Schizosaccharomyces pombe: one gene and its partner. Changing the gene in region 1 together with any one later gene gives a genetic interaction. Each region holds a gene or a part of one and is shown in the gene's direction. Other genes may lie near its edges.

Region 1 (11,796 bases):
AAAAGGCCAATCTTTTTAGATCAGCTATCAAATTATTCAGTCAATTAATTTTCGAAGAGACTTGAAATTAAGTCAGTCAACAAACATACAATCACTTCTGTGTGCAATTATTATAGTTCCTGCTATTTCACTCTGTGAGGCTATCTCAAATTGCTATAACTCCCAGGATGCTTGCAAGTTAACTTAGAATTACTATGGATTAAGATTGGAAGAGAATCTCCTATAAGGATTCCACGTATTTGAATAGTTAGTTTTGTAATAGAATCTAATTTTTATTTAAATTAGCAGAAATTCTAAATTTACTTTCTTTCTATATCATAACATTTCGTTTACTATGGGTTACACGCTACCCAGATCTACTCATATTGAAAGTAACCATATTAACGCAACAGATACACTTACAAAGGGCTTTTTCATGAATATAATTGTTTAATGAATCTTTTCATTAATTCAAAATTTACAAATGTCTGATATTGAGCTGCATGAGTCAGCAATTCCTAAAGAATTGGATTCCCCTGTAACTACCATTGCGCTCTATAGTAAGGCAAGCATCCGGGGCTATATTGCTAACTATTTGATTTTTTTAGATAACCATCTATACTTTGGAACGGAAGGTGGTGATGTATTCCTCTATAATTTTTCAAATTTCCAGGTTTGTGTTTATTCGTGTGTTGCACAGGGTTGTTTGCATTAACACGCGTATTAGTTAAATGAATCACCAGAGCTTGTAAAGAAGATTTCGTTGGTGTCGAAATCTCGTGTAAACCGAATTCTTGCAATGCCTTTTCTTGGCGCAGTTTTTATTCATCATGGTAAGCTATGTGTGGTTTACGATAACTTTGGAATACCAATTAACGGTGGTAGGTAGTTTCGCAGAAGTATACAAGGAAGATGATTTGACTCAGCTTTACCCTTCCATCTCCTTTAAAGGCTTGGTGGAATTCTGTCATCCAGGCCAACGTATTGACGAGAAAAGCACATATTTAATTGTGACCAATACTCATTTAAAGCTCATCTCATTTCAAAAAGATGGAATCATACTAGTCAAAAATGTATGTTAGATGCTAAATTGTTTACTTCATAAAAGCGCTAATTAACAATAAACAAGGAACTTAAATACCCCAATATTCAAACTGCTCGTGTGAATGGTCATATCGTTTGTCTAGTTACCGAAAATTCCTTTGAATTATTGGATATTCTCACCTTTGATACTACTCCCCTCTTTCCCATTATCAAATACGATTCGGAAAATAATGGGCTAATGTACAAACCCATGATTGTTTTGCATTCTAATGAATTTCTCTTGATTACCGGTAGTCCCAAAGATGCCATAGGGCTTTTTGTAGATTCCCAAGGGAATGTCACAAGAAGCACTCTAACTTTTTCATTTTATCCAAAACATGTTTTTTCTACATCTCATTATGTGTTCGCCATTTCTTCTAGTTCGTTACAGATCATCGACATAAATACTCTCAGTCTTGTTAAAAGTATTAATCTGAAGGATGATGAAAGTTTCTCTTTTATTTCTCGATTGACAAGCGTTCATTTTTGTGATCGCCAAATATTTAGTAAATTCTCTGCTGTGAATACTGCGTCTACCTCAAAAACTTCTGATACGATAGAAAGGGCTTCTTTTAGCAAGCCTTCATTTATTTTTCTTACGAATAAATCTTGGGGGTTTGGCGCTGAAGCTCATTTTATGAACAAACTAGAATTCAGTATTACCATAGGCGATATTGAAGCCCCTCTGCGTCGAGTGAGTAAGCGATTGCGGAATCCGAAGAAGTATGGAATAACCAATGATGTCGCTTATCTTCAATCTGCTTATTTGGAGCAAATCTCGGCATTACAGTATTGGAAGCAAGGACAGTATGAAAATTCTCTCTCTTTGCTTGAAACTTCCAAAATTGATCCTCGCGTAGTTATCTCCCTCTATCCAGATCTCTATCATTCGGAGCTTTCCTATATTGCTTTTCAAGGTGTCATTAGTTTTCGCAAAAGCATATTGTCCGTCGATGATACTGTTGCTAATGTTTTAAAATCTAATGAATTGTTTCGTGATACTGATCAATACACTCAGAGACAAATGATTGAAATTACTAAGGAAAACGCATACATCATGTTGATGCGTTATCTGAAAAATTACAAAAAGAACACGAGCATATCTGAGTATCTTTTATCTTCGCAAAGAGACGTGATGCTTGCTGTAGAGCATTCGTTATTACTCCTTTATTTAAATATGGATGATTTAGCCGCCGGTACCAAAAATGCTAAGGAGTTGTTAGAGTCTGGTCTAACTGGTGTTGAAGATATAAAAGATGTGTTGATACAGAAGAAAGAGTATTATTTACTCTCCGTGTTATTGGCTACTGTAAGGGATCACGATGGTGTTCTTCAAACTTGGAAGAAATTAATAACAGGGGATTATGAAGATCGGAGATTCAACGATGGGTTAATTAAAATACGAGAATATTTGGTTAATGATATTGAGCCTTCGACATTCTGGGAATTTACTACATGGCTTTGTAAACACGATGCAACGGAGGGTACGCGCGTTTTGCTTGACAAAACAGTTAGTGGATCCATTTCTGCAGAGGACGTGTTAGAGCATTTGGATTCTTCTCAAGATGATGTTTTGATTGATTACCTTGTAAAGTCGAATTCCGTCACTCATCGAGCGCTACTTTTAAAGTTGTGCGTTAATAAGTTGCTTGGCAGTTTATTGGATCATAACGATTTTAAAAATCGCCTTGAGACTGCCATTGAAACATTTAGGGAGCTTCCTTGCATGGAGAAACCTACGTATGCCCAATACTTGGAACAACTTTGGGGGGACATGAGTGATTTCAGTACTCATCTTTCATTTTACTATTTGTGTTCTATTAATCTGATGGAAAATGTTGAAGAAGAATCTATAGATAAAATAAAAGATATTTTGTTCGACATTCATGTTGACAATTTATATCTATTTCCTCAACTTGAACACTCGTTTTACAAAAGGAAGAAGAATTATGAAAAAGCTTTATCCGTTTTGGTTACGAATATTCATGACTATAAGGGCGGTGAAGCATACTGTCTTCAAATTGATGATGTTTATCCTCAGTGTTGGTGCAATTTGCTCGAAAAATGTATATCAACAGGAGATGGATGTAGTGATTTTATTAAAGAACTATTGTATCGTCGACCCTTTTCTTATACGCTTTCCTACGTGTGCGAGCAAATTCCAGATCATTGGAATCTTAACTTATTAGCAGATTTTTTGTGTATATTGCAAAAAAGAAATGCTGAGCGTTTGAATGAATCCCAAACTCGTTTAACACTTGAGAAGTCGTTGTCTCAAAATTTGGAAGAGTTGTTCATGGCTATTAATCGTCGTAATGTAGCCTTGGGCAAAAACGAAATTTAACCCAGTAACATTTAAAAAGTAACCTTTGGTTCAGCAAAGTTTTTACCTCAATTTTCGATACTTATTCGACTGATGTTTAATTTAATGATAGAATAATTTCAATGAGACAAAAAGATTCTAGCTTCAAAATGTTGTTAGAATATAAAGGGCTTTCTTCTACAGTTAATTCAGCTCTTCCTGATCTTTACTAGTCTTAAAAATATAAATAATATTAACTATGAGCCTAAATTCATCGAATTTTATTTTTAAAAACCCCCTTCGGGAATAAAGAAAGTGTCCGTAACACAACGATGCACTGTTCACTAAGGTCGGAAACCCCGAGGATGAGCTCGGAAGTTCCGCGGGTAGGTAGATTCCCAGGGTGCAGCAAATATTCTTACACTTAGCTTCTACCACTACCCTTCCCAGTGTTATTAAAAGGACGTACGGAAAGCGTCTGAAGCATAATTGATTGCTGGAACAAGTAGAATTAATATGGTAGAGAACGTTAATATTAATAACAAAAGGGCCGGAAAAATGTCTGCCGCCCCAACTCCCCATAACACCCCATCGGGGACGAGCGCTCCCAACTTTGGTGCGAAGGCTCCTCAAGTAAATACTATTGACGAAGGAGATGAGAATTTAGAGGCTATCGACGGAAAATTGGGTTCTTTATTACATCTCACTTCAGAAGGAGTTTCAGAATTGCCTGAAGCCGTGCAAAGAAGGATTTCTGGACTTCGTGGTTTGCAAAAGCGATACAGCGACTTGGAGTCTCAATTCCAAAAAGAGCTGTTTGAGTTGGAAAAAGCTTATGCAAAGAAGTACGCACCTATTTTTAAGAGAAGATCTGAGGTTGTTCGTGGCGCTGACGAACCTACCGAGGAGGAAATTAAGAAGGGTGAAGCTGCCGATGAGAACGAAAAGAAAGAACCTACTTCTTCTGAGTCTAAGAAACAAGAAGGTGGTGATGATACTAAGGGTATTCCTGAGTTCTGGTTGACCGCTATGAAGAATGTTTTGTCTTTGTCTGAAATGATTACTCCCGAAGATGAAGGAGCTTTAAGTCACCTTGTGGATATTCGCATTTCCTATATGGAAAAGCCTGGTTTCAAATTAGAATTTGAATTTGCTGAAAACCCATTCTTTACTAACAAGATTCTCACCAAAACTTATTATTACATGGAGGAATCTGGCCCGTCCAACGTTTTCTTGTATGATCATGCTGAGGGCGATAAGGTTGATTGGAAAGAAAATGCCGATTTGACTGTTCGTACCGTTACTAAAAAGCAACGCAATAAAAACACTAAACAAACTCGTGTCGTAAAGGTTTCCGTTCCTCGTGACAGTTTCTTCAACTTTTTTAATCCCCCAACTCCTCCATCTGAGGAAGACGAAGAATCGGAGAGCCCTGAATTGGATGAATTGTTGGAACTTGACTATCAAATCGGTGAGGACTTCAAAGAGAAACTCATTCCTCGTGCCGTTGAGTGGTTTACTGGTGAGGCTTTAGCTCTTGAAAACTATGACGGATTCAGCGACTTAGATGTTGAAGAGGATGAAGATGATGTTGAATCCTCTTCTAACGAAGAAGTTTCCGATTCCGATGAGGAGGACAGTGATAGCAAGCACACTGCTCATGGCCAGCAAAACGCTGCTGAGTGCCGTCAGCAATAAACAATTTCGATAATGTGCATATATTATGGGGTTAATAACAATGGGTTTTCTGTGTTTTGACTAAAGGAAAGATACTTGAAAAGTATGATTCTTGAGGTTTTCATGCAACATTTGTAAACCTTTTGTTGTACAGGATAGGTTCGGACCACATGTGAGTGCTTGCGGACGAGATTCTGCAAGTTTATAAAGTTTTTAAATATCTTCCAATTTATCGAGTTTTTTTCGTTTATCAAATAAAAATGCTTACAGTCGACGTGTTTTATTTTTTACTGGAATTGGTGGTTTTGAGATGAATGGCTTTAAAAGACCTAAACGACATCGTCTACATAATGGGAGGTGTGATCGTTCTTGGCGAATTTTCCGAGTTTCTAGTTTGAGTACGAAAGCCTTTAAAGATTTTGGAATGCTTATATTTGATCAATCATGATGAAAACGCTCGGACAAACTTGGACGTTTTAATATTTTCTTGCCTTTTTTTTCAATCAAATGCTTGCGAAAAGAACTAGTGATAGTTTTTTATTGTTAGTTTAGACCAAGTTGAAAACACTGACTGTAAAAATTGACCTTTAGTAAAGCTTAAAAAAGAGAACCCTTTTTACGAGCTTTTCTAGAAAATAATGCTTTGTTTTGACTTAGAAGTAAGCAATTGAGAATTCATAGTATGAATGGGTTGCATCCTAGTTAGTCTACTCTACCCAAGAAGTTGGGAAGGTATAACTAAACCCGATGTGTTTACATAAAAGGCTATTTCGAAAGAAATGAGTGTCAAAGTTTATCAAAAATACGATTTGTTTTTTTTTCGTTTTTTTAGACATAAAGAAGCTTGCAATTCTTGGAGTAAGAAGGAAACTAAAAAAATGCGGAGCGCATTGTAAAAGAGTGTTCGGTTGTTATAGTAAGTTCGTCTAGCGTTTAACAGATACCAGTTTTGTTTTTTAAAGTTAGAATCATCAAATAATGGAGATGATTACAATTGGGATGGAGGATTGCATACTACAATTTATCTTAGTCTAAATTTAAAGCATATTTGACATATCTCTTACAACATCTAATATTTTAATTTTAATACTTGCCTTAAATATATTATAGCTTTTATAATTTTCGACTTAGACACTATGCCTGAGTGGTTAAAGGGACAGACTAGAAATCTGTTGCGGTCTCCGCGCGCAGGTTCAAATCCTGCTGGTGTCGAAAATTTTTGGCAATTTTTATATTGAAAATTCTTTATATTCATTTGCAACTTAAGAATGTTTTTAGTATATAATGCAAAGGTCCTAAATAAAACAGCGTCCAATTTGATGGAATGCGTTTAGTTGTATAATATTGTTGCAGCAATTTGGTGGACTCAAAACACTGAAAGTCAATTCAAATTTAACTAAGCTCATGTGATATATCAGATTTGTTTGATTTATTATTTTTCCTCGTAAGTTTTAATAAAATGGATTCTACAAATGATCTATCAAAGGTACAAAGAAATAAAATCCAGCTAGCTACTACTAAAGGAAACAAATAATTTTAAAGTAGGGAAAACACACAAGTTATAGTAAATAAAAAAGAAAGAAAGAATAAATAAATAAATTAGTTGGGATACAAAAATAAAAACACAATTTTTTAATAATTAAATACTAGTAAAGAAAGCAAATACTAGTAAATAGTAAGTAATAATGAATATTCCTCTAAAAACAGCAAGTTGTACACTAAAAAAAAACGGAAAAAGAAAAACATTTCTAGTTGAAAATTTCATTTTTTACGATTTCTTGCTTAAAATTTTGAATTTATTTCTGATTATACCTTTTTCTTCTATATTCAATTTTTTTATTTTATATTTTCTTTCTCTCAAGCCCAATTCTCGTACCTGCTTGCTATTACAAATTTGTCTTTATTTTTTTCTCATCTAATGTTTTTTTTTTCATCTTTCCCGTGACCGTTCAACCCGTTTAATCAACATCCATCAATTTCAATGGTATGATCGATTTCAATCACGAATCCATCAAAGTCGCAATTCATTATAGTGGTGACCTAATCATCCGTTATATATAGTGTGTCTCGTCTGCACTCATTTGTTGGGTTATAGTTTTGCTGGTGAAAATTTTTCCTTCTACCTACATCCTTCGTTCCTTCCTCTACCAACGTCGAAGACTTCGGTTACTAGCTCAACAACGAAATTTAGCTTTTTGAAAAAGCGTTGGATTGACTAAAGTTCCTTTTGATTTTTGTCATCTCATCTCATTCATTTTTTAGGTGGATTTGGCTTGTATCTTTACATTACAGATATTTTTTTTTTAAATTTTTTCTCTTTTCTTTTTTTGATTCTTTAAAGTATGGATATTAAAGGCGGTCGTCGTGGTAATGTCGAGGATAGTTTGAACAAATTATCTTTGTCTCCCCCTGATAATAATTCATCCTTCCTCTCGAATCACTTCCAGGTACGCAAGTCTTACTCCCAAGCTCCTGCTCGTACTTTGAAGCCATTCGCTTCCGAAGACATCAAGATTTTGCTGTTGGAAAACGTTAATCAATCAGCTTTGAGCAACTTGAAGGATGAGGGCTACCAGGTTGAGTTCTTGAAAACTTCTATGAGCGAGGACGATTTGGTTGAGAAGATCAAGGGCGTTCATGCTATTGGCATTCGTTCTAAGACCCGCTTGACTCGTCGTGTCTTGGAGGCTGCCGACAGTTTAATTGTCATCGGTTGCTTCTGTATCGGTACTAACCAAGTCGATTTGGACTTTGCTGCCGAACGTGGTATCGCCGTCTTCAACTCTCCATACGCCAACTCTCGTTCCGTTGCTGAATTGGTCATCGGCTATATCATTAGCTTGGCTCGTCAAGTGGGCGATCGCTCCTTGGAATTGCACCGTGGTGAGTGGAACAAGGTGTCCAGTGGATGCTGGGAGATCCGTGGTAAGACCTTGGGCATCATTGGTTATGGTCATATTGGATCCCAACTTTCTGTTCTCGCTGAAGCCATGGGTTTACACGTCGTTTATTACGATATTCTCCCTATCATGCCTTTGGGTTCCGCCAAGCAGCTCTCTTCTCTCCCTGAACTCCTTCACCGTGCTGACTTTGTTTCTTTACACGTTCCTGCTTCTCCAGAAACAAAGAATATGATTTCCTCCAAGGAATTTGCCGCCATGAAGGAGGGTAGCTACTTGATCAATGCCTCCCGTGGTACTGTCGTTGACATTCCCGCTCTCGTTGATGCTAGCAAGTCTGGTAAAATTGCTGGTGCCGCCATTGATGTTTACCCATCCGAGCCTGCTGGTAACGGTAAGGACAAGTTCGTTGACTCACTCAACTCTTGGACTTCTGAATTGACCCATTGCAAGAACATTATTTTGACTCCTCACATTGGTGGTAGTACCGAGGAGGCTCAATATAACATTGGTATTGAGGTCAGTGAGGCTCTTACTCGTTACATTAATGAAGGAAACAGTATCGGTGCTGTTAACTTCCCTGAGGTCTCTTTGCGCAGCCTTACCGAGGCTGATAGAAATGCTGCTCGTGTCTTGTTTGTCCACAGAAATGTGCCTGGTGTTCTTCGCCAAGTTAACGAGCTTTTTATCGACCACAACATCAAGTCTCAATTCTCCGATTCTCGTGGTGACATTGCTTACTTGGTTGCTGATATTAGCGACTGTACTCCTGGTTCTTTGGAGGCCTTGCACCAAAAGTTGGAATCTTTACCTTGCAAGATTAACACTCGTTTACTTTATTAAGAAGCAGATTGTGTTTCACCAAAAAAAAAGAGAAATACTAACAAAATCCGTTATAATTACTAAATAAATTATACATAATCATTCATCTGAAAAAGCTTTTTTTTAGATTTATCCTTAAAAACTTGTGGGTCGAGTATATTCGCATTTTTCTTTCTCAGAGAAGAGAGAGAAGATTGATGACACTTAATCTTTTTTCTGTCTCTGGTTACCCTTTCATTCTGTCTGTTCATGATGCAGGGGTTTTTAAAAGCATTTTCCATTTCTTTCTGATCTAGTTCAATCTGCATGCATATTTTAAATTGTCTTCATAATAGACATAGGTGGGTGAGTTACACTTCTTCAACGGTTCGTGTGAGATTATATTTAAACACGATTATTTATCACTCAACAATGAATTAATGTTATGTCATCCTTCAACTGATGGCTTACATTGATTTAGTATTGAATATGACCTTAACATATTTGATGTATCTTTAATAAAGGACTAACTTAGATTTCACCTGTTTTGCCTGTTTGATGGTAAAAACAAGTGTCAACTCGTAAATAGTTGGTCCGGTTTATGATTCAATAAAATTTTTAATGCTCTTATGAATAACTATTGTAAGTGCTGATATTCAATCAGTATCCTGCATGATTGGATATGGTAAAAACAATATAAACAAAAGTGCCGTAGTGCAATTTTTTGGAAAGTAATTAGTGGTTTCGATACCGTTTGAAACTTGTGTGCATACGAATAATAAAATTCGATAATATTGGAATTTTTAGTCCGCTTTATCTGTTCCATGATACTGTTACTTACATATATGCAAGACGCTATTTTCTCATAGTCTGTTTGTTTTTTAAGTATATCAATCTTTCTTATTATATTCCATAGACACTTTCGCACATGACTCTCCAGGGACTCCGCGATATGGGTTGTGAGCATCGTGAAGCTGAATTCAACCAACAACTTAGATTCTTACAATATTCGTAAGCCAGAATGCCAAAACAGCTATATTTCTCCAAGTTTCCTGTTGGAAGTCAAGTTTTTTATCGTACTAAGGTAAGTTAACGGTCTCATGTGTGTAGATATTGGTGTTTGCAAACTTTTGTTTGTCATTCTTATTTATTCTATAACGGCAGACAGTTTGTGATTTTTCTTTGGTTGAGGTCAGCTGCTAACGATTTTAGTTATCTGCCGCGTTTGTAAACCTGAAACCAATTTTACCAGGTCATGTTTTGGTAATTCCGCAACGGGCGGTCCCTAGATTGAAAGATTTGACACCTTCAGAGGTAGGATTCTTATGCTATTCGAAAAAATAATGGAATCTGCATACGCTAACTAATGAAAACTTAGTTGACGGATTTGTTTACTTCTGTTCGCAAAGTGCAACAGGTAATCGAAAAGGTGTTTTCGGCATCTGCATCAAACATTGGTATTCAAGTAAGTACTTTGATAGTCAAGGAATAAATAAAAAAACATATTCCTTTTCACATTCAAAATAAAAAATCGTTTTAATTTAGAAGCTGACATTTTGCTTTTAACTCAATAGGATGGTGTAGACGCTGGTCAAACAGTTCCTCATGTACATGTTCACATTATCCCTCGTAAAAAGGCAGATTTTTCAGAAAACGATCTAGTCTACAGTGAGTTGGAAAAAAACGAAGGAAATCTTGCTTCCCTTTATCTTACGGGAAATGAGCGGTATGCAGGAGATGAGAGACCGCCAACCAGTATGAGGCAAGCTATTCCTAAGGACGAGGATCGTAAGCCAAGAACACTTGAGGAAATGGAAAAGGAAGCTCAGTGGTTGAAAGGGTACTTTTCCGAAGAGCAAGAGAAGGAATAAAAAGTTGAAGTACCTCAATACCACAGGGGTAGTGTTTACGTATGAATTAAGCTAAATATTATATGACCCTTTTTTTTTATTTCACCCAAGGTTACAAGAAAAATTTCCTTTTTTCTCTCTACCCTGCTTACATTGCATCTGTCTGCTGAGCTTTAGCAACACAACGTAACCATACATATTGTGATGAACCCTTCTACAATTCGATCGAATTAGCTTCAGTTCCCTATTTTGATTTTGCTCTCTTTCTTTCATCCTTTCCTCATAACCCTACTAGATATCCATCTTTTTGAATTCAAGAATTGAATACGCTAATCCACTTTATACGTCGCAATTGTAAATAATCATACTTTAATAACACCCTAAACTACTTTAGTGCTCTTTGCTCGCCATTATCTCAAAATTTCTTTTATCATAATTTAACGTTTCCTTATTTTTTTTTGGTAGTTCGTTGCAATTCATAATAGTTGTTGTCATCAACCCGTCACCCTCATCAATGTTGCCCCAGTAGTTATAATTGAAATTTCTTACAGCCTCAATTTCTCCAATTCTTCCATTTCGCCAATATTTTACATTTATAAAAGTATCTACGTTTTCCTTTTTATTCCTTAACCAAACTCTTTTGAAACCTATCCTTGTTAATTGTTGAATCGTATAGTTTGTTATCCACGATTCATCTTACTTGCAGACAATTCTTTCAATTTAGAAACGGCTTGCGTAATTTTTATTCTAAATTGATTCTTGACTCAATTTATTTCTACAGGAAGTGTTACATTGTGAATTGAATCTAATTTTCGCCTTCTAAATTATTTCTGATATTTACCTAATTATTCTACTTTTTGTGTGCATAAGGCCTTACAGTTGAGACACGTTTCGTCTGATTTGGCTATTTTAATAAGGAAATAAAACATTCTTTAAGGAGTGTTTTTTTTTTTTTGGTTTATTTGATTTCTCTTGTTCTTCAAAGTGAGCGTGTCTACGCGTTTACGCTTCAAAACCGGGATGACGGTGGACAATAGGTGCTCCAACTCCAGCCTGTGTTTAAGGAATGTGACTCCTAAACAACATCCTGCTCGTGTTTGTTCAAATCATTGGCAGTTGAAAAACCTCATTTCTACTCAAAATACCGGCGAAGAGTCCAATCCAATCTACTATACCAACAGCGTATTTGTTTGGAAAATATACC
Region 2 (11,824 bases), on another chromosome or scaffold:
ATTTGAAAATTTAGCACAACAGTATTTTACCGATGGTGTAGAGATGCGCAGTGTTCGTAAATCCTCTGATTTACGTCGCAGCTTGAGTGCAGCCAGCCTTTCTAGTCTTTCAGATAGCTCTAGAAGAAGTTCATCAGCGGCGAATCCTTTTCAGAGCATGAGCATCACGGAATTTGCAGAAATGTTGACGAATATATATTTTTCATCATTGGAATGTCTGCGTCGCATTCGCAGCCAAATAAAAGTTTTAATAGATATTTTATCGAAAAAAGATACTAAACAATATCACCTATCTGTGATTCTTAATGATTTAATGGCCACGAGTTCCGATGTTGTTACACAACAAGTGACAACTATTAATAATCTTCGATTTCGAGTCTTGGATACTTATCCTCCTAATAATGTTATATACCTTTTTTCTTTACACATAATTTTTCATAATGAGCTTGAAAGTCTTTGCGGAATCACACAAAGCTCATTTATTCCAACTATAATGAGGCAATTACTGGACTGGTTTAAAAATTTTCAACGATATTCTACTCAGAAATTGGCATCAAGCTTTGAAAGGGAGCTATGGGAAGCGATACCTGTTGAACCATCCTGTCAAGATCTAGCTAATCGCGTGTTTGAATGCTCCGGTAATACTCCCGTAGAATGGACGCGACTATTATCTCCTGAAGCAGAAAAAGAAGATGAAAATCATAGGGTTCACCATGTAAAAGTTTCAGAGGACTGTACTGCTACGGTTTCGTTTGGAAAACAATCATTACATATTGTTCGGTCCTCTGTTACGTTGTTAGAAACATTGGATGATTATGGTAAACTTCTTGCTCACTTTTCAAGATTGGCTCCAGAGTTTCAGACTGGTATGCTAGATATGTTTCGTACACTCAATTCTCGGGTTTATCAATTAATATTGGGAGCGGGGACAGTGCGGTCGTCTGGCCTTAGTAAAGTACTTGGGAAGCATATTGCACTTGCCTCTCAAACTATCGCATTGTTTCAATTATCCCTTAATTCAATGTGCAGGTACTTGTCAAGAGTAACAGGAACTCGACTCACCAATGAAACTAATAAGTTGGATCAAGATTTCACCGTTCATCACTTACAAATTCATGATAAGTTTGTTAGTCTCATGAGGGAACGAGTTGCTATCAGTTGTTCCCAGATTGCTTCTCTTTCGTGGGATATTGACAGTCCTCATGGATACATTATTGATCTTTCAAAAAGTCTTATAAAGCTCTACAAAGTTTTACATCGCTACTCACAACGTGACTGTGTAGAAGTAATACCAGATGTAATTCGGATGTTCGAAGATAGACTGCAGTTGGAACTTACGGATATTGCAAGAAATCCATCCAAATGGCCAGGCGTTCGTATTGATTTGTCCTATTTTTATGACATGATGGCATCTAAATGCGGATATGCAGGAGACCGGACTTTATTGGAAAAATTTGAACGTACTCCGGAACAGCAGGAAGCGGCTTAAACATTTGTTTCGTCGTTTTTTGTAATCTATTTTAGTTCTTTTCTTGACAGGTATTTTGGTTATCTGCTTTTGTGCTCGAGTTACCGTCATATTCTTTGGAATTTTACATTTTGGTTTAACAATTTACTAACCTGAATGAATTCTAAGAATCCAAAAATTTTGTTGCAAGTTATGAACCAAGCAGCTTCTCTATAAAATTCTCCATTCTATCGATAGTTCTAGTATTCACAATGACGAATACAAATTCACTTATGACTACTAATCGGCCAGTTTTGATTTAGAGTATTACTCATTTAATTCGGAAATCTCATGGGAGCGTAATGTTTTCGACCGATTTAATTTCTTTTCATCTTCTCTCATTTATTATTGTTTTTATCACCTTTATTCAATTCCTTATGAAAATACTCATAATTGATTTAAGTGTATCAGTCAAATTCCTTGCTATATTGAGTAACTTGTTACTTTGGTAGTAATAGATTAGATATATTGGCTTGCACCTAAAGCCTGAAGTAACCTTTTCAATCTTTTGGTACAATGAAATTAGGCAGATTTTTAGAAAACGGAAGGGAGCAAATACGAAATCTCCTCTTAAATGCTTCGACTGTATCGTCTGCCCCGTCTTTTAGCTTTGTTAGTGGAAATGAATCAGCAGGTACATTAGTCGTAATAGACGAGAATTAACAATTCGTCTTAGATCTTGACAGTTGCGCTAGTTCAATCGTATATGCGTATTGCCTGCAAAGAAAACAGCTGGGTAGGATTGTAGTACCTTTTTTTAACATTCCTCGAAAGGAGCTACGTCTTAGGCCTGAACTGTCTTATTTGTTGAACTTAGCATCAATATCTTCCGATGATATTGTCTTTTTAGATGATATTGTAAAATTACCAAAAAGAATATTCAGTAATCCTATTTATTTAGTTGATCACAATTCTTTGGACCGTAAAGACCTAGAAAATTTCAACGGCAGTATCGCTGGTATTATAGATCACCACAAAGATGAAGGGGGATCCTTACATGCTGATCCAAGAATCATTGAGGAATGCGGTAGCTGCTGTACTTTAGTTTGCCGATATTTTATGCCTGTCATTAGATCTCTATATGATTCCAAAGTATCTGAACTTCACCAAACAGCAACCAACCTTGCTGTTTTGGCACTTGGCCCTATTTTAATTGATACTGGAAATTTAAAAAATGAAAAGACTACTGATACCGATGTTAAAATAGTAAATGACTTATGCTCATTTGTGCCAAAAGATTGGGTTCGAGATGAGTTTTTTGATACTCTGAAAGAGAAAAAGAAGAGCTGTAAGGGTTTTTCTTTTGATGATCTACTACGCAGGGATTTAAAACAGTATTTTCCGGACGGAATAGTCGTCAATTATGCCAGTGTTGGAAAGGGATTAGATTGGATCAAGAAAAAACGTCTCGGATGGGAAGATGAATTGAAAAGTTTTGCCGAAGTGCAAAATTCTGATTTGGTAATTGTTGGGTTATCTCTGAGTAAGAACGACGAGTTTGGTCGTCAATTGATTTTATACAAGCGTACTGAAAGGGGAGCTGGTCTTGCCGATTCTTTCTTAAAACTTAGCAAACAAAATTTAGGATTAGAAATTATTGAAGAGAAAGATAATGGCGACCTCAGTATGTGGAATCAAAGAAATTCCGCTGCTAGCAGAAAGAAAGTAGTTCCCTTACTTATGGACTCAGTTAAACAAGTCGCTTCAAAATAGTTACTGCTTTAGACTCCATTGTGATTTCTGTTCTGTACATTTTACGATAGCTACACTCATCAGTAGGCTTATGATAGATTTTAAATTTTTTTAAAAGGATATATATTATACATCACATTGATCTAAATTTCTTACTTTGTAATCCCAAGATCCTTTTATTCAAAAAAATCACTGTCATCTGATTGATTATTTTGTAGTTCATCGTGGTAAATAGACTTGTTTGAAGAACTCTCTTCTTTTAATCGGTCGATTGCTGAACTCTTGAGCAACCGAAATTCTAGGAGTGAAGTTTCAAAATCATCTTTATTACCTAAATCAGCAAATCCGATAATCTTATCCACGAGCTGAGAATTTACGTAGCAAAGTACGGCTGGTAATACTTTGAGACCCAATTTGACTACCAAAAATGGAGCGTTGGCTGCTTCAATACGGATAAACTTAGTTTCCCAATGTACTTTGGCAATTTTCTGAGAATGTTAGCGTAAGCAATAAATGGAACTCCTCGTACCTCTAGATGAGAGTCTATAATTTTGCAACGTATAAAATCAGGGTGGTAAAAATGTATAACAACTTTTTTTGATGAACTAAAAAATAATTAGTTTAAAATAATCGAAGCTAATGTTTTGACATACAGCGTAAAATCCATAACTTCGCGCTCATTTTCTACAGTAAGAAACTGCATGTGTCCTTTTTCTTTTGCAGCTTCCACTCTAGCGAATCTGAACGGTTAAATTCTTAAAATCATTTTAAAGCTTTTTCTTACTCTTTTTTTAGCATCTCCAATCTCTGTTCTCGATAAGCAGTATCATCAAATTCATCCAACTGTGAAAAGAGCGCATCTTCCAATTCTGAATCACTTTCGGTTGCAGCTTGAGTAGCATACGTATCAGCGTAAAGATCAACTGTTGGGTCGTTACTAATGTCAACATTAGACATAATATGTACGCTACTGTAACCTACCTATTATGCAGTTCTGGTTCATTGTAATCCTGAGTATCCTCCTTTCTTTCAGTAACCTTCAAAGCTTCATACTCGTTGGCGATTTCCTTTTCCAAAGGAGATTTCATAGAAATCCAAGCAGGCTTGTTTTCTACAGGCTGAACGTTTGTCAAATCCATTTGATAACCACGTTTACGCGGCCCAAATCCATGGGATGCTGGAAAAGATGTCATATAAATTTCTTCAAATTTTCTAACATCTTCATCAAAGTTTCCCTCTTGTATGGAGGCGCGGATTCCTTGAAAAAAGGCAGTGAAGGCATAAACATTGTGTCTACAAATCGTTAGCTTTCTTTACCATGCTCTTTAATATAAACATACAGCTGTAAAAGTATCCAAGCAACTAGCTCTCTAGCCTGTAACAGATGCCTAACATAAGCGCGTTTGTATCTACGACATGTTTTGCAAACGCAGCCGGATTGCAATGGTTCCATGTCAGTAGCAAACCTTTCGTCCCACATATCCAAGCCAAGTTCAATTTTAGAATTCAACACATCTTTAGAAGGAGGCGGGAAAGAGAATGTAAGTGCAACACCAGCATCAGTAGCTTGTGTTATCATATCTGGAACAATAATGTCAATTCCTCTTTGAATGCATTTCAGAATTTCGAGTGGTGATTCAAATTTTTGAATACTCAGTCTTGGGAGACCAACCAAATCAGCTGGTAATGGATTGACATTGTTAGAAAATGCCAAGCCAGCAATGTTGTTAGCAAGTTGATTTTCTTGAAAAAACTGGAAAATAGGCGTAAGGTACTGAGTGTCCAGATCAGGAACAGGGAAAAATACTTTAGTAGTATTGAAAGCGTCCGTCGCTTTGAGTGCTAAAAGCAACTCAGTTGTCCAATTGACAGACCGTTCCACAATTTTTGGCTTCCTTTTGACACCAGGAGGACTAGTTGGGGTATCATTTAAAGGAATTACTAATTCAGGACAAAGCTTTAGGACAGCTTTAATATACAAGTCATTTGTCAGTTTCTTTGCACCACTTGCAGTAACGATATTAATATGACTTTGTCCTGCAGAAACAGATGGCAAAGGAGATGTTCTTCTTGGAGCAAGTAAAGTAGGTTGGACAGAGGGTGCTGCGATCCATTTTTTGATAGTTCCCTCATTAGTCAAGATTGGTGAGGCTTCCAGACGATCCAAGCTACAAACATATTAGTTAGAAATTCAAATTAAAAAAGATATGATAAAGCATTTGAGTCCTAAATTTAAACCTTACCAATCCTCCAACCCTACATAGAGAGCAGGAATATCGAATTCTTCAACATTGTCAGGTGTCAAATGAGGAACAGTTCCTCTGGAAGTAGGAAGGAAAAAGCAAGGAGTCTTCAGAACCTTGTTCTTCACCGTAACTGAAGATACGCGAGCCCCTGAAGGACTAGATAATGAAGAAATTGCCATCAATAAATCGCAAAATAAAGCTGCAAAAGTTTTGCTCTATTTACACATGTACGATATCAAAATAACGATGGTTCACTGTAGCACATTAAACGAATATTGCTATATGAATGTTTTTTAAATTTGAAAGATATTCAAACACAAAAGGTCGTCTAAACATTCGATTTATAATGTTGTAAAATAGCTTTGTTTGGATATCAGTAGTCTTACAAAACTGAAAGTTTTTAGTTAAGTAAAAAAAAAAATATCATTACATAAATTATAGTAAATTGTTTAGACTTTTTTTAAAGTTTTAAAGTAATAATAAAACATGCAAACAAGAAAGAAACAATGGAATAAAAACATTAATAACGGATAATTTTGCGACGGCGGAAGTCCTTTTCATCTGAAGCGATGTCATATAACGCTCTTCGTTTCATTTCTTTTTTCTCTTTTGTTCTTCGTTTCATTTGCTCCATCTCTTTCCTGGTATATCGCTTGTTTCTCCGTTCTGCCAGTAAACTTTGGCCATTGTGACTATTCAATGAAGAATTGATGTCAAAGTACTGTTCCATATGCTTATGTGCTTTGTTTTCTTCACTTCGCAACTCTGGTGAAGCCCATTTTGGCATAAACTTTCCAGATAGGCGATTGAACTGAACTTTCGCTGTGTAATCTAGGGGACTAGTCTGCTCTTCATCTTCTAACGGATTATTCCAGCTCGTCGTATTTGTTAAAGTGTCCCAAAAATAGTAAGCCTGTTGAGAAGGGTCCCAAATAGCGGCTATCCGATGACCCTCGGACCAAGCAATGGAAGGCTGTGCTTGGTTTTCATTTGTAGGGGAGTTAGAAGTATCATTTTTTGATGTTTCGGAAACTGTTTCGTCAGATAAAGGAGATTCTTTATGGCAATTTGTTTCAGGAACTGGTTCATTTGGTAAAGGTGGCTCCCCTGGTAATGGTTCCTCAGGAACTGGTTCATCTGGTAAAGGTGGTTCCCCTGGTAATGGTTCCTCAGGAACTGGTTCATTTGGTAAAGGCGGCTCCCTTGGCAATGGTTCCTCAGGAACTAACTCATTTAACAAGGGCTTTGATGCTTCAGAGGTTGGTTCATTTTTAGAAATACTCTCCAGATTTTCATATGTTTGAGTTGATTCAAAAGTGTTTTTAGGAGTATTTTCAGAAATAAATGAATTATCGGCATCCTCTCCAACTTGGGTATAATGTTTTCCTTGAATATTGGAGTTTTCGCTATTAGAACTGCTCGTATTCGATGAAATAAAGTCACCACTGTTCACGTTTGATGCAGGAATTGTTTGATCGACATTGCTAGTAGCTTTGCAATCTTTAGAAGACGACATTTTTTTATCAGTATGAAGAAATAATTATTATACAAAATACCGGGGACATTCAATTGCACATAACAAATAAATGGGATTTACAGCACAAAAAATAAGTACTGGAATGTAATCTAAATGGCTGAATTAAAGTAATTACAAGCAACACTATATGTTGCTGCTCTGGCGCAAGTTAACAACAAAAATTAATATTTCTGAATAACGTATCTTTGCGAAATACCACGAGTTCTAACTATATCTACTTTAAATGGATTAAGGCTCCACAGTGCGATTCAATATAACATTAATTAAAATGCACTTGGCCTGTTCATTGATGGCCAAAAAATTAAATATAATTTGGTGAATTTAACTCCTATATAAAAGTTTTGTTTTTTCAAGCCTAAGGATATCGTTGAAGCTATTGCTGTGGATTACCGATGTTAGACTAAATAATAGTTGACACCAATTCGATTTATTAACAGTTTATAAACTTTCTCCCTACATAGTCTTCTTTCTTCGATAATTACTTTAACACATATAAAATGGAATTGTAAATATACTAAACGAAACGATAAGACATAGCCAAACTATGAAGGAATTATGCATATAGCATTTGAATAAATTAAATACTGAAAGCTAAAAGAGCTGCTATAGAGTACAAACTCAGATTCTTATATCGCACCTGTGATGAATAAATGTTTGAAGAAGCGATTTTTATTAACGAAAATATAACATAATAAAAGAGCTTATTTTTTTTGCTTTGCTTTAAGATATTAGAAGTACTCTACTTTTACCCCATATTAAATGTTGAATAAGAAGATATGGTTTTCGCATTTGAAAGCACAACGTCCATGTCTTTTCGATTAAGATTCATTAAGTATTATTGGTGAATATAATTGAGTGCAAGGGACTCTCTCGCTGAATTTACCATATGCAAATATATCATAAATCCACAGAAACCAGTATAGGATGTCCGTTGAATAAGGAAAATTTTATTTAAGTCTAACTCTGATAATACGTTTTGTATGTCAGTCAATTGAATATAAGTGCAAATTTTTATTTTTTTAATGACCTATTTATTGTAATAAAATCACGTTTCTTTGTTAAAATTGCACAAATTGAGTAAGCTATATAAATATTTAGAATTGAATATATACATATGAAAGCAAACATTTGGTCGTAGGATCCTTGTACACTTGAATTTCTATGATATTTTATTATTTCATATTAATTATGCTTACGTTTTGGAATTTTTATAAAAAATTATATCGTACTGGTAGTAGCCGTTTGTACGATCATCTACCTTTTTATTTTTTAATTTCATTAAACAAATTTAATTTATTTGTTTGCATTTTTGAAAAAAAAAACTTATAAAAAATCAATTATGCTCATTTAGCTTTTTGCAATGATTTTTTTTTTTTTTAAACATTTAGTTTAACTAATGAGACTATTATTTAAACAATATTGCACCAAATTTATGTCAAAATCATCACTCTTAAAATTGAATAAACAACAGGAACAGAATTCCATGAGTTATTCATCTTGAAGCTCTTGACCTAACCTTGTTCTTTCTAAAACCAAGCATTTTTGTTTAATTTTTAAAAAAATATTATTGATTAATTTAGCTTTGCAAACAATTTGCACACAATAGATTTTGAGAGGCTGAATATGAATTTTTAATGTTTTGAAGACTGGCGTTCTACTAGAACGTCCAATGTGATAACGTTATACTTATGAAAGGATGTAAAACTTCTATATACAGTAAAATAATATATTCCCTCCTACCTTACATGTAAGGGTTGCATATTATTGATTATTTTACTTTGTATTCTTTAGACTCACGGAAAACACTAATTTATGGTAGAATATTAATTTCTCATAAATAATATTATTTTAAACGATTCAAAACTAATAGAAAAGCTCAGACTTGCCTTTATCTAGTCGACATTTGATTCCTTTGGTTTACTATCGCCAATGGCAATTTCCAAGGATCCATGCGGATTACCAGATTTATCTTCATCGCTTTTTAAAATGTTAAATATGAACTTAATATAATTCAGATGAAAAGGTTTAATCCAATAATATTATATGAATTGAGAATAACTGGTTGGACTTAGTTAATAGTTAAAAGACCATCTTAGCAAATGGGGAAGAGAAAATGGCTAAGAGTTAAGCATTGAATAAATACATTATTTACTTTGATTTCTATAAAACAAGCTGATATTCATCATAGCCTCAAATTACTTATTATTTTAAGTATGGTGTGGTAAAGGAATTGAGTCGCGCGCGTTTATTTCTATTTCTACTACACACCAACAACGAAGTTTACCTATCGCCCCTTGATTAAACTAGTGGACTTGCAAACTACTTCATTCATTGTCATAGAAGAGGAAGAACTAATTTATTTCTGTCTTTATTAAATTTCGAGATAATTGGTGTTTTTAACAATGTACATTTTGAATTGATAGATCAAAGAAATCAGGAGTGCAACTAAAAGAAAATTACGGTATATTTTTTTAAGCTGCAAGAGTTGATACTTAAAAGTATTTCCTAATTTTGTGGATACTCATATTTTGTACATTTACGTTTCAATAACATTTCTGCAACCGACTTATTCACAAATCTCTGGTTAGATTTCTCTATTGATTGAAAAGGTTTGTCTCACGTTCACCCTTCATAGTTTAGCGGTGAAAAAAATCTCCACTCTGAAAATTGTCCTTTCTTCATTTATTAGATTGCATGATTTATTTCACTGGATTTAACTAGCTTGTCTTGGCAGCTTACCTTTTATTTCCCTTGTACGATTTTTTTCCGGTGAAGTTGTATTTATTGTTACATAAAAACACATTTGGCCGTACTTTAACGATTAATTTCTTTTCTTTTATTCCCATCGAATTTTCGCTCACAGATTGCGTGTAATTCTCTTCATTGTTTAGGAATATTCCTTTTTTTATTTTTTATTTTTTTTAACCCTGTTAAATGTCATACTCGAAGAGTACAATTTATCGCCGACAAGGCACAGAACCAAATAGCCACTTTCGGCGTACCGTCGAAGAAAAGTCTCAGCTTTCTGGTACAAATGAGGAGTCTTTAGGAGGCCACACCCTGTCCTCTAATGCTTTCAAAAATAATTCATCTAGTATATCGCCATCCTCATCTGCGAAGGATCCTCGAGAACAGCGGAAAAGAACATTTCCTCTCAACGATACACATTCTTCCCGAGCAAGACAGCATGAAAGACCTTTTCGTTCTCGAAAATCTAGAAGGAGAAAGGGTAAAAAGGCATTCAGTCCTAGACCTGGCTCACCTCCATCACCTTCCTTTTACCGCTCAGGTAGTCAAAAACGAGCACGTAATTTAACTACCAAGGATTACTTTGCCAAACGCTCTGAAAGCTCTTCTAGCGCCTCCGTCTCACCTATATCACCGTCCGCAAACAGAAATGATTCAAAAAGGCAAGCTTCTTCTTTTCGAAGGTCTCCGCCTAGTTCTGTACATATGAAGCCTTCAGCTTTTAACGGTCGAAAGGTATCGCGGAGACCTTCATCTTCTCCTCCCCCTATTCCTTCTATCCCTCATGAAACTACTTCCTCCGATACACAAAAAAAATCTAGCGTGTCTTCTGGCTTTCCAGAGAACAAACATGGAAAATTTCACTTTCATATACCTAATGAACGCCGATCTCGATTCGATCAACCTCCTTCGAAACGTATGGCACTCACGTCCACGGCCCGTGAGTCTGTTCCAGCTCCTCTTCCTTCTCCTCCTTCCGGCCCAATTTATACATATACATATCCAAAGCCTGCCTATGAGAAAATCGACCAAATTGGAGAAGGAACTTATGGTAAAGTATACAAAGCCATTAACACAGTCACAGGAGATTTGGTAGCTTTAAAACGGATAAGGCTGGAGCAGGAAAAGGATGGTGTAAGTATAAAAATCAAGCTCGTAACTAAATTGACTAACTTTCTAGTTCCCTATAACTACTGTCCGTGAAGTCAAAATCTTGCAGCGTTTGCGTCACAAAAATATTGTTCGGCTATTAGAAATTATGGTGGAAAAAAGTACGATTAAATACTGTCCTCATTCACCGTTTAATTATAACTAGTTCTAACATTTTAAAATTCTAGGTTCTGTATATATGGTATTTGAGTACATGGATCACGATTTAACTGGAGTCTTACTAAATTCACAATTACATTTTACTCCCGGTAACATAAAACACCTTTCGAAGCAAATTTTTGAAGCATTAGCTTATCTTCATCATCGTGGGGTGCTTCATCGTGACATTAAAGGTTCTAATATATTACTGAATAACAATGGTGATCTAAAATTCGCAGATTTTGGTCTGGCGAGATTTAATACATCTTCGAAGTCGGCTAACTACACTAATCGCGTTATTACCCTTTGGTTTCGACCTCCAGAGCTATTACTTGGAGAAACTGCATATGACACAGCCGTGGACATATGGAGTGCTGGCTGTATTGTTATGGAGTTGTTTACAGGAAAACCTTTTTTTCAAGGGCGAGACGAAATCAGTCAGTTAGAGGTTATCTATGATATGATGGGTACCCCTGATGTTCATTCTTGGCCTGAGGTGAAAAATCTTCCTTGGTATGAGCTTCTGAAGCCAGTAGAGGAAAAGAAGTCGCGTTTTGTTGAAACTTTTAAGGAGATTTTAAGTCCTGCCGCCATTGACCTATGCCAAAAACTCCTTGCCCTAAATCCCTTTTGTAGACCGTCAGCTCATGAGACCTTGATGCATGAGTATTTCACTTCTGAGAGCCCACCTCCAGAGCCAGCAGTCATGTAAGTATAAAATTTATCGTTGAATGATATTTATCTAACTTATGTGTTTAGTTTGAAAAACATGCAAGGAAGTTGGCA

The links.
Region 2: mutations in aph1 (region 1) and ppx1 together harm fitness more than expected from each alone (negative genetic interaction), as found in Schizosaccharomyces pombe (one large-scale study listed by BioGRID).

What each region holds. Positions count from the first base shown.
Region 1 is NC_003421.2:467,656-479,451, reverse strand, and holds aph1 (bis(5'-nucleosidyl)-tetraphosphatase), read left to right. Parts: upstream 1-9,724; 5' UTR 9,725-9,763; coding exon 9,764-9,826; exon of another isoform or gene 9,827-9,954; coding exon 9,955-10,056; exon of another isoform or gene 10,057-10,120; coding exon 10,121-10,207; exon of another isoform or gene 10,208-10,316; coding exon 10,317-10,613; 3' UTR 10,614-11,129; downstream 11,130-11,796. Other genes in the region: GTPase regulator Vps3, read left to right, coding at 464-539, 588-652, 707-812, 865-1,052, 1,109-3,406; histone H2A-H2B chaperone Nap1, read left to right, coding at 3,881-5,062; D-3 phosphoglycerate dehydrogenase Ser3, read left to right, coding at 7,384-8,784; SPOM_SPCC4G3.03 (WD40/YVTN repeat-like protein), read left to right, coding at 11,613-11,796. UniProt on the Schizosaccharomyces pombe protein: Asymmetrically hydrolyzes Ap4A to yield AMP and ATP.
Region 2 is NC_003424.3:3,944,555-3,956,378, forward strand, and holds ppx1 (exopolyphosphatase), read left to right. Parts: upstream 1-2,000; 5' UTR 2,001-2,023; coding exon 2,024-2,141; exon of another isoform or gene 2,142-2,183; coding exon 2,184-3,220; 3' UTR 3,221-3,375; downstream 3,376-11,824. Other genes in the region: GARP complex subunit Vps54, read left to right, coding at 1-1,489; plp1 (thioredoxin domain-containing protein), read right to left, coding at 3,376-3,687, 3,729-3,804, 3,853-3,939, 3,984-4,136, 4,181-4,392; qtr2 (queuine tRNA-ribosyltransferase accessory subunit Qtrtd1/Qtr2), read right to left, coding at 4,503-5,367, 5,443-5,624; splicing-associated factor Saf2, read right to left, coding at 5,966-6,961; P-TEFb-associated cyclin-dependent protein kinase Lsk1, read left to right, coding at 9,917-10,864, 10,911-11,001, 11,068-11,746, 11,798-11,824.